3 linked regions of the Arabidopsis thaliana genome follow. The main gene of each other region encodes a partner of the protein of the gene in region 2 in a complex. Each region holds a gene or a part of one and is shown on either strand. Other genes may lie near its edges. The genes, in order: AT5G40340, AT3G05430 and FVE.

Evidence for each region.
Region 1: AT3G05430 (region 2) and AT5G40340 share a complex: the UniProt entries of both Arabidopsis thaliana proteins name them as parts of the PRC2 (polycomb repressive complex 2) complex.
Region 3: AT3G05430 (region 2) and FVE share a complex: the UniProt entries of both Arabidopsis thaliana proteins name them as parts of the PRC2 (polycomb repressive complex 2) complex.

The regions. Positions count from the first base shown.
Region 1 is NC_003076.8:16,130,854-16,137,001, reverse strand, and holds AT5G40340 (Tudor/PWWP/MBT superfamily protein), read left to right. Parts: upstream 1-1,608; 5' UTR 1,609-2,142; intron 2,143-2,309; 5' UTR 2,310-2,321; coding exon 2,322-5,348; 3' UTR 5,349-5,605; downstream 5,606-6,148. UniProt on the Arabidopsis thaliana protein: Together with PDP1, PDP2 and PDP6, interacts with MSI4/FVE and MSI5 to suppress FLC, MAF4 and MAF5 expression by regulating the function of the PRC2 complex and modulating H3K27me3 level, thereby promoting flowering.
Region 2 is NC_003074.8:1,565,891-1,571,769, forward strand, and holds AT3G05430 (Tudor/PWWP/MBT superfamily protein), read left to right. Parts: upstream 1-1,733; 5' UTR 1,734-1,854; coding exon 1,855-2,890; intron 2,891-3,285; coding exon 3,286-5,147; 3' UTR 5,148-5,328; downstream 5,329-5,879. Other genes in the region: ACBP4 (acyl-CoA binding protein 4), read left to right, coding at 1-157, 347-493, 666-725, 972-1,157; AT3G05425 (uncharacterized protein), read left to right, coding at 1,584-1,715. UniProt on the Arabidopsis thaliana protein: May influence gene expression by regulating the function of the PRC2 complex and modulating H3K27me3 level.
Region 3 is NC_003071.7:8,453,796-8,460,189, reverse strand, and holds FVE (Transducin family protein / WD-40 repeat family protein), read right to left. Parts: upstream 4,435-6,394; 5' UTR 4,185-4,434; coding exon 3,901-4,184; intron 3,546-3,900; coding exon 3,482-3,545; intron 3,389-3,481; coding exon 3,302-3,388; intron 3,193-3,301; coding exon 3,130-3,192; intron 2,957-3,129; coding exon 2,891-2,956; intron 2,747-2,890; coding exon 2,672-2,746; intron 2,535-2,671; coding exon 2,459-2,534; intron 2,386-2,458; coding exon 2,190-2,385; intron 2,080-2,189; coding exon 1,998-2,079; intron 1,918-1,997; coding exon 1,844-1,917; intron 1,770-1,843; coding exon 1,658-1,769; intron 1,573-1,657; coding exon 1,498-1,572; intron 1,394-1,497; coding exon 1,326-1,393; intron 1,242-1,325; coding exon 1,142-1,241; intron 1,057-1,141; coding exon 955-1,056; 3' UTR 548-954; downstream 1-547. UniProt on the Arabidopsis thaliana protein: Core histone-binding subunit that may target chromatin assembly factors, chromatin remodeling factors and histone deacetylases to their histone substrates in a manner that is regulated by nucleosomal DNA.

The sequences.
Region 1 (6,148 bases), on a different chromosome or scaffold from region 2:
ATCATCTTAGTTGAGACTTAATTAAATATGAACAATCAAGTTCGCTATTGCATCTATATATGTTTTTGCCTTTATTTCTAATCATGTAGATTAAGATCATTTTTATGATATGCGTATAAATATTGTAGAAAAGATTAAGGTGCACAATCTAGATTTGGATAGATAGAAAAAGTAGAGGCATTGGTTTAGCTATCATATGTTCTCATCACATCAAGAGACTTGGATCTTAATTAATCAATGTTTCCATATTTACTGATAAATAAAAAAGTTATAAAGTAGACAAACCGTTGATATAATTTTTCACGTCCAAAGAGAGTACGTAGATCACCTCATGACCAGGTTGCTTTATAGTGTTTAGATTGTATAGCATTCATATTCTGACTGAATCTCTAGAACATATGCTCAAATCATTTCGTTTGGAGTTTTGACCCATCCTCAAATCATATTATATATGCATTCTATGCAAGTACAAATATGAACCATTACATTTTGTTGAATTAGGTTGCATGTCTTTTTAGTTTTGCCCACATGTTTTTCGTGTGAGAATTGTGAATTCCCCATGTGAATCATAAATGAAAAGATAACATGGTGGGTCGTTCACAACTTACAATTCGGAATTATTTTAAACGTGTCTGAATTCCCTTGGCACTGTAATGATCCGTCTGTTACGTTGCCTTGGGCCTTGGGCTTTGGAGATGGACTAATATTTACACAAGTTGGGTTCAAGGTCATTGAGCTTTCTTTCAAACTATGATTAAGTAGTGGGAAATATATGATTCATATATCACTATTACTTGGTATTACAGTTCTAATACAGATTATACAGTTGATTCATATTGGTTCGCCGTCGATACTACATATAATCATGTCATGAGAACGTGTTGTTCGTGTAAAATTAACACAACAAGAAAATTACGTTTAGATGTATCAAATGTTATCCTAACAGATTTCACATGTTATATAGTCTCAACGAAAAAAATTAAAACATTTAAACTGGGTCAAAAGATGTATTTAAGCGATTTTCTTATATGGTGTAACATAAGTTGACCAAAAAGATTGAATATGAATTAGTGTGAAGATTGATTCAATGACTAAATCTAGTTTAATCATAAAATCTAAACATTTATCTTTTTTTAATAAAACTCAAACCGATAAATAATTTTGTTTTAGTAACAAATTAGATTTTATAAGTAAATTAATTTTTTTATTATTATTAAATGTCAAATTTTAATTGAATAAAATAAAAAAAGTGAATATAAGGGTTCAACTCAAATATTTTTCAATTCAATATATATAACCAAGATTTTCGTTACCACTCCACTTAAGTAATGCAGTGAATGAAAAAGAAAAAATAATCAGTGTCTAAAATCAAAATACCGTTGGTCAGTTGAATAATGAAAAAGAAAAGATCTTTGATTTTCCTTTTACTTGGTAGATTCCTACTCTTTAGGATTGAGGTTTTAATAAAAGACTTTAATCAACAAGCACTAAATTTAAGATACTGGTGTTGTGTAATAATAAGTTTGGGCCGAGCAAAAAAAGAAAAGGACTGGGCCGAGAAACGGCAAATATTTGTGTCGTTTCAAATACCAAATTCAAAATCTCCATTCTTTTATTACTCTGCTTATTAGCCGTCTAAGCATATTACAGCTGTCAATCATCGAAAGCATGTGACGCGTCTCTCTTATTTCATCCCACTCGCGTTCATATACACGTGTTATCTACTCTCTATCCGATTTCCGCCACGTAAGAATCTAGACACTGATGTTCTTATACACATAGCGAGTAAGCTGTATTTTACACTCTCGTAGCTAGTCAGTTTATTGTGATAGCGACACGGCTGATTTAGGGAAATAAATTAAAAACGTTGTCTTATTCCTGGGGCAAAAAAAAGCAGATAAGTAAGCAAAAAAAAAAACTCATTAATTACGAAAGTACCCTTAAATTTCTCCGAAAGGAAATTTTTGCGCCGCGTTTCATCTTCTCTCAAATCAAAATCCAGAGAGAAAAAAAAGAGAGGATTTTTCTCATGAGATTCTGAGAGTGTCTTTGTTCTTCTTACAAAGAAGTGTTTTTTCTTGAAGATTCTTCGGTCGCTGTTCGAAAAGTTGTTGTTTCGTTTCTCTCGGAGCTCAAAATCAGGTAAAAAATTTGTTACTTTATATTTTCGTTTTTCTAGGTTTTTCGTAAGAGTTAACCTAATTTCAAAATTTGTTTTTTTGGGAGATATTGTTGGGTTTGTGTGTAAATAGTTAGGTTGATTTTTTTTTCTGATTTGTTTGTCGTTTTGTGATTTTTTTTTTCTACAGTCGGGAAGAAAAATGGAAATTGAAGTTGTTTTGGGAATCGGAGAAGATGCGGGACCTAAGCCTTGTTCTGCAGAGATTGAATCAGCTGAGAAAACCCTAAAAGATGATGGTGTTGTTCAAGAGAACGGTGTTAGGGTTTCCGACAACGGTGAGAAAAAGTCTGATGTTGTTGTTGATGTTGACGAGAAAAATGAGAAGAATTTGAACGAATCTGGAGTTATTGAAGATTGTGTTATGAATGGAGTTTCTTCCTTGCTCAAATTGAAGGAAGATGTGGAAGAAGAAGAAGAAGAAGAAGAAGAAGAAGAAGAGGAAGAAGAAGATGGCGAAGATGAAGAAGAAGAAGAAGAAGAAGAAGAAGAAGAAGAAGAAGAAGAGCATGGATACTGTGTAGGAGATTTTGTGTGGGGAAAAATTAAGAATCATCCATGGTGGCCAGGTCAGATTTATGATCCATCAGATGCTTCAGATTTGGCTTTGAAGATAAAGCAAAAAGGGAAATTGCTTGTGGCGTGTTTCGGAGACGGGACATTTGCTTGGTGCGGTGCGTCGCAGTTGAAACCGTTTGCAGAGAGTTTCAAAGAGTGTTCGAAAGTGAGTAATTCGCGGAGTTTTCTAGGTGCAGTGGAAGAGGCGGTTGAAGAAATTGGTAGACATATTGAGCGTGTATTGGTATGTGATTGTGCTGAGGAGAAGAAGCATGAGTTTGATAGTCCTTTAGTTAACAATGCTGGGATTAAAGAAGGTGTTTTGGTGCGTGATGTGAGACGGGAAATGATTTCGTCGTTGTTGATTGGTAAACATGGAGAGATTCTTAAAGATGTTAAGAGTTTTGCAGAGACTGTTAGTTTTAGTGGCTTGCTTGAGCTGGAGATATTGAAAAGGAAGGTATCTGCGTTTTATCGGTCTAATAGAGGATATGGTTTGACTGAGTATCATGAACCTCAATCAGTTCCAGGACTTGAAGACAAGAACAATGATGATGATGATGATGATGAAGAAAAGAATGTTAATGATGGGTTACAATGGCGTGCTAAACGGTCTAGAGTAGAAGAAGTAGCAGCTTTGGATCATGAAGAGTCGTCGTCTCTTCAGAGATCGTTAGAGAAGTGTTCTGGTTTTCCTGATCATAGGCTTCCCCACAGAAGGAAGGAGAAAAGCATTACTGAAATAATTGAGAAGGAGTCAGCTGCTAAGGTTAGGTTTGAGACAGAACCTGCGGATGGAGATGTAAAGTCAAATGTTAAGTCGGGTAGGAAGAAAACAAAACGCCATGATGAAGTTAATGGTGATCTTGAAAATGTAACTACTACTGCACTGTGGAGGAGAAGAAAGAGTGAAGTAGCTACAATTGAAGACGGTGGTAACAAGCAAGTGGTAGAAAGTAGCAAAGGCAAAACTTCGAGGAAGAAGAAGAAAATGGATGTGGATGATGGCGATGATGATGGGAGTGGAGACAAAGAAGAGTCTGAGGAAAAAGAGATTTCAGATCTGGAAATAAATATCGATTCAACTTCATTAGCTTCGCTGCGGAAAAAGGTAAGGTTTGATGATTCAGTCGTTGAAAGGAGTACTGAAAATGGCGAGACCGCTACACAAACATCAAAGAGAGAGAGGAAGAAGAGCAAGTATCTCTCGCCTGATTTCTTGTCAGATTTTTCACGGAAAGGAAGAAAAAAGAGTACAATCGAATCTGAATCTTCGAAAGTTTCAAGTCAGAGCCAAGTAGACGAGCGAGTGACTGATGCTAGTGATAGCCTCATGGAAGTGGAAGAAGATACGTTGGATAAACCTTGTGAACCATCATCTGATAATGGATTAGGTCAAGAAGAACTGTCTAGGGAACTTAGTAATGCCGTCGACTTTCTGAGGTTGGGAGCTACACCAAAGGAAATGCAGGATCTAATTCGTGTAGCTGCTCTTGGCACACAATATCCAAAAGACAGTAGCTCAAGAGACATGGTAAGAGAATTCATGACCATCTATAGAAGCTTCACATATCATGATGGAGCCAATCACAAGTTCTTAGGGAGCTATGATAGTTCGGATAAAGAAAAGGAAGAACTGAGTGAGATGGGTAAGCCTGTAACTAAGGGGAAAGAGAAGAAAGATAAGAAGGGTAAAGCAAAGCAGAAAGCAGAGGAGATAGAGGTAACTGGTAAAGAAGAGAATGAGACAGACAAGCATGGGAAAATGAAGAAAGAGCGAAAACGTAAGAAGTCTGAATCAAAGAAGGAAGGGGGTGAAGGAGAAGAAACCCAGAAAGAGGCTAATGAGTCAACAAAGAAAGAGAGAAAACGTAAGAAGTCTGAATCAAAGAAGCAATCAGATGGAGAAGAAGAAACTCAGAAAGAGCCAAGTGAGTCAACTAAAAAAGAGAGAAAACGTAAGAATCCTGAATCAAAGAAGAAGGCAGAAGCAGTTGAAGAAGAAGAAACCCGGAAAGAGTCTGTTGAATCAACCAAGAAAGAGAGAAAACGGAAGAAGCCTAAACACGACGAAGAAGAAGTCCCGAATGAGACTGAGAAACCCGAGAAGAAGAAGAAAAAGAAGAGAGAGGGAAAGTCTAAAAAGAAAGAAACTGAGACGGAATTTTCAGGAGCTGAGCTATATGTTACATTTGGTCCTGGTTCAAGTTTGCCTAAAAAGGAAGATCTGATTGAAATATATGAAAAATTTGGAGCTTTGGACAAAGAGAGAACTGATACGGTCGACAACAACTTCTCTGCCCATGTGGCTTTCTTGGATGTAGCTGATGGAGAAAAAGCCTTTGAATCCTCACTAGAGAAATGTCCGTTTACTTCTAATTCGACGGTGAAATTCAGACTCAAGTATCCAAATGAGAGAACAGAGGAGAAGAAAACTGAAGCTGAAGTTGCAGAGACGACAATGGAGGTGGAATATCTGAAGAAAAAGCTGGATGAGATGAAATTGTTACTTGATGGATGCGAAGGAGGAATGACTGAAGAAGTGAAAGTGAAACTTGAAGGTGAGATGGTAAATTTGTTGGAGAAAGTGATAGAGATGAGATCTTCTTAGGATTATGATTTTATGTTTTTATTTTGTTGGTTGAGAACTTTCAGGACAGGTTTTAGGATATTTATGGTTTCTGCAAAACATAACAAAAGTATTTTGAGAGGTTAATGTCTTGGTGATACTATGATCTTGTCGTAGGGTAGACAGAATTAGATCGATGTTCTATGTTTTTGTGTAGACTTTTTTAAAGTTTACCAACTTTGATACTAAACCCATTAGTGGGCTTTTGGTTTATCACTCTCTTGAAAGCCCACTAATTTTATTATATTACAAACAAAATTTTCAAAATCCTTTCGACGAGTATTGAATGTTTGATGAAGCCATACAAAGAGGGAGGTTGGAGATTTTTATTAGAAAGGGAGTCTCGTCGAGACTGAATCATTTACGTAATGCTAATTAGTGATCCAACAACATAAATGTTCTAAGACAATGAACAAATTCAACCATTTGATTGATCACAAAAAATGTATCCAGATAATGTATAAGAGTTAATTAAGATATTTGGCCAATTTCAAATTCAATTATCAAATTCAGAACATTAGGCTTAATCATGTTTGCTTGTTCATGTTTGCTTGTTCGTTTTTGCGTTAGTTCTCGGAGAAGCTGTAGACTTCTATCTTTGAGGTTTTGTGGACGGACCTTGAATAATCATGCTCGTGGCAACTAGGATGAGGATTCCAATACTTCGGTACTGCGGCAACAACGCAAATTTCCGAGCTTCGCGGACTCGGAATCGGTGTTTCTCCTCCTAACTTGGCCTTGATCACTCATCGGCGATCCTTTGCAATTAGAGTTGTAATGTT
Region 2 (5,879 bases):
ATCAACATTGCAAACAAAGACTCTGGAAGCGCCTTTGCCAGGTAGTCTTTCTGCTGTTAATAATGCCACAACCAGAGACATTGAGTCTGAGGTTGAGGTGAGCCAAGAAGGCAGGGTACGGGAAATTGTCATGGACAATGTTAACCCTGGATCAAAGGTATCTTCTTGTCAAATTTCCCTCCTTAATATATTTTGCATAGCACCACCTTTTGATTTGTTTGAGAGAATTGAAGCATCTTATGCATATATGCTGTGGTAGTGATTGTGTCGACACAGAATATAGTTACTCCAGTCCGGATCATCACCTTCTCGCACTCTTATTATGTTTTGGGTGATTAATCCCCAGGTTGAAGGAAACAGCGAACGCATTATTGCGACTATTAAATCTGAGAAGGAAGAGCTGGAGGCATCACTGAACAAAGAGAGGATGCAGACTCTCCAACTAAGGCAAGAGTTAGGAGAAGCAGAATTACGAAACACAGATTTGTACAAGGTACTAATATTATCACCTTCTTAAAACAGAAGCCGACATGAATAAATTGGTGAACCAATCGTTCATAAAGACTGGTTGCAGCAGTCTTCCAATTGCATTCACATTTAACATCTGAAATCTCGGAATTTTTCCTCGAATATGATATACCTAACTTTGTACTGACATTTTGTAGGAACTTCAATCTGTTCGTGGCCAACTTGCAGCCGAACAATCAAGGTGTTTCAAACTGGAGGTACTAAACCGTAGCCACATCTCTTTTGTACCATAACCTACAGAATTTGGAATCTCGTGAAACCCGTGATTTAATGACTACATATACTCATATTCCAGGATGAATAGGAATCTTGATTAGAACATTCATCCATTGTAACCACTGGATCTATCACATATCTTCTCTGTCATTTATTGATAAGCTTCATCACGTCATAAGAACAAAAACAAAGCAAATCTAATTGGGTCACTTTCTCCGAATCTGCAGGTTGATGTTGCAGAGCTAAGACAAAAGCTTCAAACATTGGAAACACTACAGAAGGAACTCGAACTCCTGCAACGTCAAAAGGCTGCCTCAGAACAAGCTGCAATGAACGCTAAACGACAGGGCTCGGGTGGCGTATGGGGCTGGCTCGCTGGAAGCCCTCAGGAAAAAGATGATGATTCGCCTTGATCATTTTTGGTCCGGTAATGCCATTTTCCTCCGGACGATATTTGCTTTCAGTAAAGAAATATATATAGTTTTTTTTGTCTGAGTCTCTCGCATTGTTTCTTCTTCCAATAAGATATTTTTTTAGCGAGCTTTGATTACTACCGATGTTTAGCTTTGTTCTCTGTTATACAAGTGATTCACCAGAATATTCGTTAACTTTTTTGAAATATTTGTTTTGGGAGTGTCTGACAAAATTATGAAAACTAAATCAGTTTACGATCAGCAATCATAATTTTCTTATATTTACGAGTCTCTTACTCTCTTCACTCTTTAGTCTTCGTTTGCATTAAAAATTAAATTAAATTTACCTCACTTCGTAAGTGGACAAAAAATCACGTTTTAGGCAGCAAAATAAAATAAAATAAAAAGATCACGTTTTTTTGTCCCATGACGTGGCAACCTATTACTGGATGGGAAGTTCGACCGTTCACCATCACCATTTATGACGCTGAGAAGTTACCAAAATGTCCTTCTCACCAAGTGATGCTTTTGTCATCTTCTCCAGCTTTACTCTCATGAAATTTCTTAAATTTTCTCTTCCAGCAAACAATCTCAGGATTTAAACAAAGTTACGCATCTTCTGGCTTCGAGTTGTTTCTAGGGTTTCATTGTTATGAAAGCTCTTTAACACCGAGGGTTCAAGTGTGGTTAGAGAGAAATGAATTCGGCTGAGGTGAATGTGAATCCTAGGGTTTTTGGTGATAGTTTCGTTACTTTTTCTGGCAATGGCTCCGGGAAATTTGAAATGATTGATCAGGCCGAAGCTTTCCTTATGGAGCTTGATTCGGTTGCTGCAGACACTGGAAGTGATGGAAATGGAAATGTCGATTTAGGTTCTCGAGTGTCTAACAGTGAAACGGAACCTAGATTTTGTGAAATGAAAAGAGAGATTAGAGACTCTGATCACCGATTTTATGAGCTCTGCAACGAATCTGGTGAGAAGAAAATGGAGAAAAGGCGAGTTCCGGACTACAAATCTTTCTTATCCGAATTTGACGATTATGTTGCGAGGGAGAAAATGGGTTCTAGAAATTCGAAGGCATTGAGCTATGGTTTTGAAGTGGGAGATATGGTTTGGGGAAAGGTAAAGTCACATCCATGGTGGCCAGGTCAAATATTCAATGAAGCTTTTGCGTCTCCCTCTGTTCGTCGTGTGAAGAAGATGGGTTACGTTCTGGTTGCTTTCTTTGGGGATAATAGTTATGGATGGTTCGATCCTGCTGAGCTTATCCCTTTTGAACCTCATGTGAAGGAGAAATCACAGCAAACTAGTTCGGATCACTTTGCAAAAGCTGTGGAAGAAGCTATGAATGAAGTAGGTAGAAGGTCAGCTCTTGGCTTGACTTGTAAATGTCGGAATCAGTATAACTTTAGGCCTATTAATGCTCAAGGTTACTTTGCTGTAGACGTGCCTGATTACGAGGTCCAAGCTATTTACTCTTCTAAGCAGATTCAGAAAGCTAGGGATAGTTTTTCATCTGTGCAAACTCTAGCTTTTGTGAAGCGGTGTGCATTAGCACCTCAAGAGTGTGATACAGACAGCTTAAAGTCTTTCCAGAAGAAAGTAGCGGTTTGTGCATTCCGTAGAGCAGTGTTTGAGGAGTTTGATGAAACATATGAACAAGCTTTCAGGGCAAGATCTGTATACTGTTTAATGAAGACACATGAACCACTTAATAGAGCACCCCTTCGAGGTAGATTCACCTTTCAGCGATCCTGGCATTGTTTTGAATACATTTGTAATATTTCTGCTTCCAAAATCGAATTTTATGGAGTTTTATTAGATCTTTCTCCTATGTATCACAGAGATACGGTACTCTATAAATTGGTGATCTCGTTGAGTTTGTTTTTCTGTTTCTCGAGCCATATAGGCTACATTCGAGAGTTTTGTGGTTTGGGTATCCTTCGACATCAAAAATGCTTTTCTTAAGGTTGTTATTGTAGGATTTATAGCTATGAAGTTGTATTCTTAGAATGCCTCAAAAGGATATGGCATATCTTTGATCTTAAATTCTGGATTGTGAAATCTCATTGTGTTGGGTGGTTGGAATAGATTTCATATTTCCTCATGCATTGCTTGTGTTTACAGTCCCCTTGAGTGGCTCATTGGTCAGTGCAGAAACTCTGGGCAACCCAAAGAGCTACACAAAAGCTATGAATGTAAAGGATTCTACTAAACAAGACAAATATCTTCCAAAAAGAAGAGAAGAAGCTGGTGATATGACAGTTCAATTTGGCCAGGTCCAAGAATCTTCTCAGTTTCAGGGCATCAACGGATCTTCAGCTTGGGATCGTCTACTCCAGAGAAGGACTCCATGTCTCCAAACTCCCAGGAAACATGAGCAGACTGGGCTTGTCAGCATGAACTTCACCTCTTCAAGTGGTAATATTCCTGGAAAGAAATCCTCTGTTTCAAAGCTCTCTCGTGATGATGACAAGGGTTTAGCTCAAGAGTCAGATGTGAGAATGGGAGAAAAAGCAACTCTATTTCCAGATCAGGAGAAATTTGAACCAATGAAAAGCCTTAAACAAGATGAGACTGGAACAAATTCTAGATCTAACAAAAGCTCTCTCAAGCTTTTTAGTGGTGGGAAATTTTCTGCAGGAGTTGGGATCAAGAAAGGCAATGTCGTGAAACGGTCTTCTGGCGAAATGAAATCTGAGAATTGTCCTCCAGAACCAAAGAAAAAGAAGAAAGAGTATGTGTCAGAGCTGAACCGTGACACTCCAGATAAGAGGAAAGCGTTATCTTCTGGAGAAGCTTGGGCCAAGAAATCGTCACAAGTAGATTCAGCAAAGAGACGCTCCAATATGTTGATAGTGAAACTTGATGGTCTGCAGCTGTTGAGTAATTTGCTAGCTCTCTCGCTTGACCCTCTCTTTGGATCCTCAGATAGAAGTTCTTTTAGAGTTATAAGGCAGTTCTTTTTTCATTTCCGATCACATGTTTACCAGAAAAGCTTGGCCACATCTCCTTCCGCAACAAAACTGTCAAAATCTGCAAAGACTTTGTGCAGAGCTAATGAACAATCAAAGGCTGGGAGAAACCGCATATCGTCTGACAGTCAACAAGATGTCCCATCAACTAAGAAGCTAAAGAAAACCATTCAGTTCAAACCACTGGCTTCTGACAAGAAAACAAACCAAGATGCAACAAAGAGATCAAGTCTTGCACCTTTAAATCCAGTAAGAGACCAATGTCGAGTTCCCATCAATGCCAAACCAGCTATAGTTCAACAAGAAAAGAAGACGGGTCCATCTGCAATGGTAGTTGAGCCAACAATGCTGGTCATGATGTTTCCTCCTGGTGAATCTCTCCCTTCCATTGATCTGCTTAAGGCGAGGTTTGGACGCTTTGGACAGTTGGATCAATCAGCCATCAGAGTTTCCTGGAAATCCTCGATCTGCCGTGTTGGCTTCCTGTATAAACTCGATGCGCAGACTGCCTTAAGATATGTATCAGGAAGCAAATCTCTCTTTGGCAATGTGAATGTGACATACTTTCTCCGTGACATGAAAGCTTCTTCTGCATCCGGAGATCATGAACTGAAGAAAGCCAAGAGGCCCAAGACAGACAAACCCATCACTAAACCATTGAACCAGCTACTAGAGCAAGCACCGCCGGTTCACCAACCAAACATCCAGCTCAAGTCTTGTTTGAAAAAACCAGGCAATAACCGTAATGGTAACCACAGAACAGTACGAGTGAAATTCATGTTGGGTGAGAAAGAAACAGAGTCACCATTTTCGGTTTCGATTCTTCCTCTCTCTTCACAAGACTCAGAACCAAAGCCTGTAAATAACCAAGTGGACCACGTCGAGCCACCACTAGACCCGTCACAGCTTAAGGTGGACATCTCCCTGCAGATGATGGAGCTGTTAACAAGGTGTAACGATGCTGTGGCCAACGTCACGGGTTTGTTGGGTTACGTCCCTTATCATTCCTTATGAAAGATTACATTAAAGAAAAACAAAAGTCTGTCCTTAGGTATTATTAACTAGTATTATCTGGAGAAGGGTATCAAAATTCAAAGTGAATAGAACATCTCTCTTTCTCTAAATATCCACATTTGACATATAAACCGATTTTAAACCAGAATGTTTTTCTAACTTTACTGGTTTCCAGTTTGCCAAAAAAAAAAAAACTTTATTGGTTTCCTATTTTAAAGCCAATATCAAACTGCAAAAAAAAAAAAAAAAAAACAATTAACCAAATTTGCATGAAAACTGAAACCAAATGCGTTTTAATTCTGCGCGTTTGATATTAGATCTAACATTTTAGAGCATAACAATATCCTACTATATTATTTGGAAAGTACATAACCTTACTTTTTGTAATTAATTACATGCCATTAGAAAAATTTAATCAAAAACAAAATCTTTTAATGACATCATTAAGATTATCAAAATTATTTAACGACAATATTCATCTCTTAATTATAGGGCTTATTGGATTTAAAGACGGGTCATCAAAAATTTCCTAAACTAAAGCAAAATATACTGAATATTCAAATATCTATCTGTTACCAAATTATAAACAAATAAGTTCGTAAAACGATTTAATATTTTATATACGAAATCAATTAAATCTTAATCACATAAAAATTAGCACAAAAAAAAATATGGTACATTTGGGTCTATAGTATTTTTGCAAGACTTTTTTGGTGGATTTTGGTAAAAGTG
Region 3 (6,394 bases), on a different chromosome or scaffold from region 2:
TAGAGTTTCTCGAGCAATTTAAGTATCGTCGGAAAAAGAAAAGAAAATGTAGGTCTAAAAACCCTAATTTTATGAAATACTCCGATTCGTCTACTTGTGATTGATTAGCTTCCCTACCTTATTCCTCAAGCAATACATTGATTCATGTTTCTCTCTTTAGTATCTTTTGGAACAAAAACTTCTTCGTTTGATCTTCTCTGACTGATCTTGACGGTCTCATGTAGGCTTTGTGATTGGATTTTTAAAGTCTCTAGCTCATCAAGAGACTTCATAAAGCCTATTAAGCGGGAGGACCATTAACGTTAAGCCCAATAAAGTAAAACATTATCATATAGTTTAGTTTTATGAAATGACCAGGTGATCTATGTATGATTTGCAATGGTCTGATTGTTTAGTGACTGTTAATACTTAAAATTTCTTCAAAATCCTACGAATAAATCTGTGAATTGAAAATCACCTAATCCTACTGCTAAGCGTGATTAACAGTTTTTTTCTAATGAAAACGACAATGCAAACATTATTTAAGATGCGACGAATCATCAAGAACCCAGTTTCCAAATTTTGCGATGCTTATTACTATATTGTTTTATAATGACCCCTTCTGCTTTGCATTTGAACATCAATGCAACTATTTTTTTTGTAGCCGGGTTGGTCTCGACTAGTTACAGAGAAGGAATCATTAGGTTCAGGCCAAGTATTGAAACCTTAAACCAAAACACATAAAGTTGGTCCGATTTGATTAACATCTCAGTTGAACAAAACAGCACCTAAGAGTCTGATGAAACAGGATCATGAACCAGAACCATGTACCCCTAACTGATATGGAAAGGTCCTAAAAGCTACCACCAATATCTCAAAAGACAAACCAGCCTTACAAAAACCAAGACTCCTCGCTAAAACCCGCATTAGTTTACCATAGGCGATAGATAGATAGACAATGGGTTTTCTTTACTCTTAAGGCTTGGAGGCACAAGTCATAACATGCGACTTGAACTTCTCCAATTCTGCCACGACTTCTTCTTCTGGTCTGTAAATCAAGTCACTCATCCGCCATATCTGCCATAGAAGAAAGTATAAACAACATTTAACGGTATGTCAATAAAATTGCTTATCAAGGTACCAAGAAAGATTTCAAGGTTACCTGCAATGTTCCACCTCCACCAGTAGTCTCACAGTCATCAGAAACACTGACAATAGTCCAAGGGTCTGAAGCATTCCAGTGGAAATCAACAACTTTGTCCCTAATATGGTTTATAAACAAGGGAACTTAGAAGCAAGTAAAATGAGAAAGCAATCAAGAAAAATCAAGATAAGTCTTTAAGAACCTGTGACCAGCATGCTGGAAGAAGAGCCCAGCGGGGCTTTTAGCTGCACGATCAGACTTCTTACTGACCTGATGGTTAATTAAACAAACCAAACATGAGTACAATGAATATGTTTCAGTGATGATAGTGAAGAAAGATTAATTTTAGACATCTGAGTGAACTATGTACACACCCTGTCATAATCCCAGATGTTCAAGAGACCATCTTCTGCAGAGCTCCCAAAGACGGATGACTTATCAGGAGACCACTGAATTGAATAACAAGATAGTGTCAGTGGGTTAAGAGATATACTTCATACAAAGAAGGAAAAAAAAAAAAAAAGTTGATTATACCTGAACACAAAGAACAGCAGCTTTGTGTCCCTCAAATTTGTAAATAGGCGAACCAACTCCATTAGCGGTAAGCTTCCTACGATCAAACAACCGGACAGTGTTGTCTGCTGACCTGAAATATTCATCAATTTCTTAATTAGATACTAAGTATGTATTAATCATCTATTTGTATGTATTTCTCCATACCCTGTCAGGATCAGATTGTCGTCATGAGGATTCCAATCAACACAATGAAGATCAGCATCATGCGCTTTTTCAACCTGGAAAACAAAAAAGTAAGATATAATATCAAAAGGAGGTAAATCTTCAAACTTTTGATAGGATTCAAAAGATAGAGTACCTTCGTGACAGGGTTTGTGCCAGTTCTCGCATCCCATAGTATAAGGCAAGAATCATCACCAACACTGCAGAATTCTTGTGCACTTCACGGTATAAAAGTTCACCAGAAGTATTATTAGAAAATCATGAAAATATCTGCAGTATGCATAAACAAACACGATATCAATAGAAGGAGTCTGTTCTAAGAAGTTACCTCGTCGGGCTGAATGCCACATCTTCAACTGTATCTTCATGGCCATGATATACACCTCGTGGGCCAACAGTAGGACTCTCATTCTTATCAGTACCTTCACCAGTCTGTTTGATGATAGATCCAGATGATTTGGAATCTGTCCCAATCGTTGTGATGTGATCTTGGATACTCCACAAAACAACTGACTTGTCCTTGCCTAAGAGAAGAACTTTTGTATGAGAAACTGGCAAACCACAGGATTGGACTCTACAAATTACAGAAACACAAACCTCCGGAGAGCACAAAGGGTTCCGTTGGGCACATGGCAAGAGCAAATTCAGCATTATCTTGGTGCCCAGTTAGTATCTGCATGAAAAATGGTTCATTCAGATGATGCAAACAAGAAGCACTATTTAAGAAGATATCAAAGAGATTTATCACTTCCAATGATGAGAAACAAACAAGAATAAAGCATAAAACAACATTCTCAGAAGTGGACATACCAAATCTGGACGGGAATTTGCAGCTCCAAGCACAGCATGACGGTTTGGTTGGGTTTCAACATCCCAAATGAGAACCTGAAATCAACATATTGTATTTAGATAACTCTGAAACTGGACATATGTCCGAACAAAGGATGCTCTTTGACTGCCAAATACAGAAATATGAAACCGACATATTTCAAGTTGCTATGACCATAACAAAATAGAAGCAGCACTCACATCAGGACTGTCGGTGTGAGTAGCAACAATCTTACTATTCTGTGGGAGTTCCCTGATTCTGTTAACCTGCAATTGCAAATTAGTAATGAATACACATCAAAATTTACTTTCACCAACGTGCCAAACGAATAACTTCATGGACAGATGAAACAGGGATGCAGATACAATTAACAAACCAAATAGAACTAAAAAGAACAATGTCAATACAGAAATATCTCAAGAGTGGGCAGAATTCACACCTCTCCAGGGTGAATGATGGTCTTGTACTTCTTCACAAATGGAGAACGTGCTTCTTCATTGAACTGAGAACACATTTTCAGAAGATAGTATATAAGTGTCAAACATGAAACCAATTGTAGTGTGGAGTAGGATATGGAAAGGACACAAGCTTAGTATTAAACCACATAATACCTGAGAAATGTGCTCTGCTGCAGCAACCCTTGGCTTAACAACTTCACAATTTGCTATGACCAAAGTATTGGGCACACTTCCATCAGTCTGGTGACACAACCAAGAAAAATACAAATAATACGATGAGAAGTATATAAAGAAGATGAGACAACAAGATACAAGAGAAAGCTAAAAACTTACTTGCTCTGAGAGGTACAGACGCTGGCGATTCTTGTAGGTTGCTTGCTCAAGCTGCGGACCCCATCTATAAAAAAATCAAACAACAATTCACCAAATGGAAACTCTTAGCACAACAACTAAAGACTTCATCAGATATAAACACTCAGAGAAACTGAAAATTCCTCTTAGTCATTAGTAACCAACAAGGTAATCAATAGTAACAATTCATGAATAGAACATCAGATATATCAAGGTATGAAGACAGAGCCACATCCAAAACCCTAACTAGAACAATCGCAACAATCTCACTTAAACCCAGAAATCGAGAAAATGTATGTGTAAGATTTTACTAAATTCATTCCAAACATGAGAATGTTCAAAGCTAAGAAACGATTACGAAACGAAACCCTAGAAGGAGAGGAAAGGAGAAAGGGGGAGACCTGCAAGAGAGTGAAGGCCAGACGAGGTTATGGTTAGCGAGCCAGTCGTAGAGAATGGGGACGAGACCTTTCCACTGAGAGTACTTCTCGTCAACACTCGGCGACTGCTGCGTTTTCTTCCCACTTTCTTTCATTTTAACATCGCTCTGTTGCTGAGACGACGGCGTCTGAGAATCTTCCTTGGTTTTAGGTTTCCGACCTCTCTTCTTCGGCCCAGAAGCTCCGGTTCCTCCGCTCGGTGTCGTTGCTTGAGGAGACACTGCTGCTGCTTCGTCGCTCTCCATTTTCCTCTCTCTCTTTTTAATTTTTCTTTTTTGGTCTTTGCTTTCAGTGTCTCTATATCTCTCTCTCTTCTGCTTTACAAATACAAACAAAACAACCACCGTTTACCATTTTTACTTTGGACATAATACCTGAATCCGAAAAAACCGATCTGAACCCGATCCAAAAATCCCAATCCAAAAATCCCAATCTAAATTCGAACCTGAAATTTTCAAATATCCGACTGAATCTAAACTTCAAAACCTGAAAAACCCGAACCCGAACTGGTACCCAAACATATCTTAAATATAAATATAACTAAAATATTTATATTTATATTTACATATAGACAATATTATGATTTTTCGGATATTTTAGTTACTTTTATGTATTTTTAAATATATTCAAGCAAAACTACTCGGGTTGTTTAGGGAATTTTTGAAATTTTCAAATAATTTAATAGATTCGGACACAAAATTTTGATATTTCAATATATAACTAAACCCGAAACCGAACCAAACCCGACCCGGAATCTTGAATTACTCGAACGGATCTTAAAATTCTAAACCCGAAAAACTCAAACCCAAAATACCCGACCGAATATCCAAACACCCATAATTATTATTTTTTAATTCAGTAAAATAAATACTTTATTGAATAATAATAAAAATTACGGATGAAATAATTAACAGTATAAATTAATTAATATAAGCGTCTCTTACATGGATTACTAACTTTATAATTCATATCCAAACTTGTTGTTCTTTCTTGTAGCTTCTTCTGAAAAAAAAAAAAAGAATAGATCCTCGTTGCATTTTGAAAAGTGATTTAAGAAGATTTCAATGTTTGTTTAATACTTGAACAATAAAGTCCAATATTGTTCAGAAGTATATGACTAAGCTTAGACTTGAACCCTAAGTTTGTTCTTGGTGTCTAAACTTAAAACATTCATTTCATTTGTTCTCTGCTGGCTAAACCTATAAAATTTACCTTTCATTTTATCTTCTTTATTTAAAACATAAAATTGTACTATTTCATATCCCTCTTTGTTCTATGTGAAAAGCTCAATTTTCACTCATGGATTCGACACCAAATAACTTTCTTTGGGACATTGAAAGCCTTAAAATATCTCGAGGTTATGATTTACATGTAGTTGTTCCAAGCTTGAGGCTTTTTCTCAATCCAGCATGGATTAATCTGATGAATATGGTAAATCCGAAAAAAACCTAAACGTCTGTTCGCTCTATTTAATATCTTAATTTTTTTTATTATGATTATAGTTTAGAACTTAAAAGTTATGTATAATCATGTCATTTTAAAATTTCGCTTCAAATCTCTATAATTCTTGGCATTGCACTTCTTATATCACTAGTTTTGACTATTAAGAAACGTTTTGTGCATAAAAATTCAGATTTTTTATGATCAACAAATTAAATAGTGTTAGAAATTTTGTTGTGATTATGAATTTTTTAAAATTCTAACACAATTTATTTGGTAGAGGTGCAAAATAGGTATTAAACAAAAATTTTAGATCTGCACAACATATATGTATACAAATATGTATATGAACTATGCAAATAAAAGAAAAAAAAAACTATTACTAAGATTACTAGGGAAAAATATTGACTCAAATCATCTAATTTATGTTTCTCATCTTACTAATATTAATGTTGATAGTATAGTGGTGTTTCATATATTCTCTAATTGCATATTACATATACATATTTGTATATTTACACCTATTTTCCTATTAACTTAATAAATAAATATTATTTTTTTTGGGACGAAATAAATTGTATTATTATCGTCATAAAACTGATAGGTACAATGAAATTAGTAACGCTAATGAATTTGTCGTCCAAAAATTAAAGATTTGAATTTTTTATACACAAAGTTTTTCGTGGTAGTTAGAGACATGTGATACAAGCATTTAAGATATTATGCATGTAAGGCAAACATGATTTTTAATCAAATGTCAAATATCATGAGTCAAAGATATACTAAACGAAACATAATATCTAGCTTTTTACAAAGCAATTTTCCAAAGGCAACTAAACCCTAATTCTATATTGGAATGTTATTTTACTTAGAACAAGAAACGAGAAGTTCTCGTATTTTTAAAATTATCAATTTTTTATACTTTTACTTTATTATATGTACAATATGTTTCTCTAGATTTCAAAGTTTCATTTATGATCATCTAAATACACAAACAATTTAATCACAAGAAATA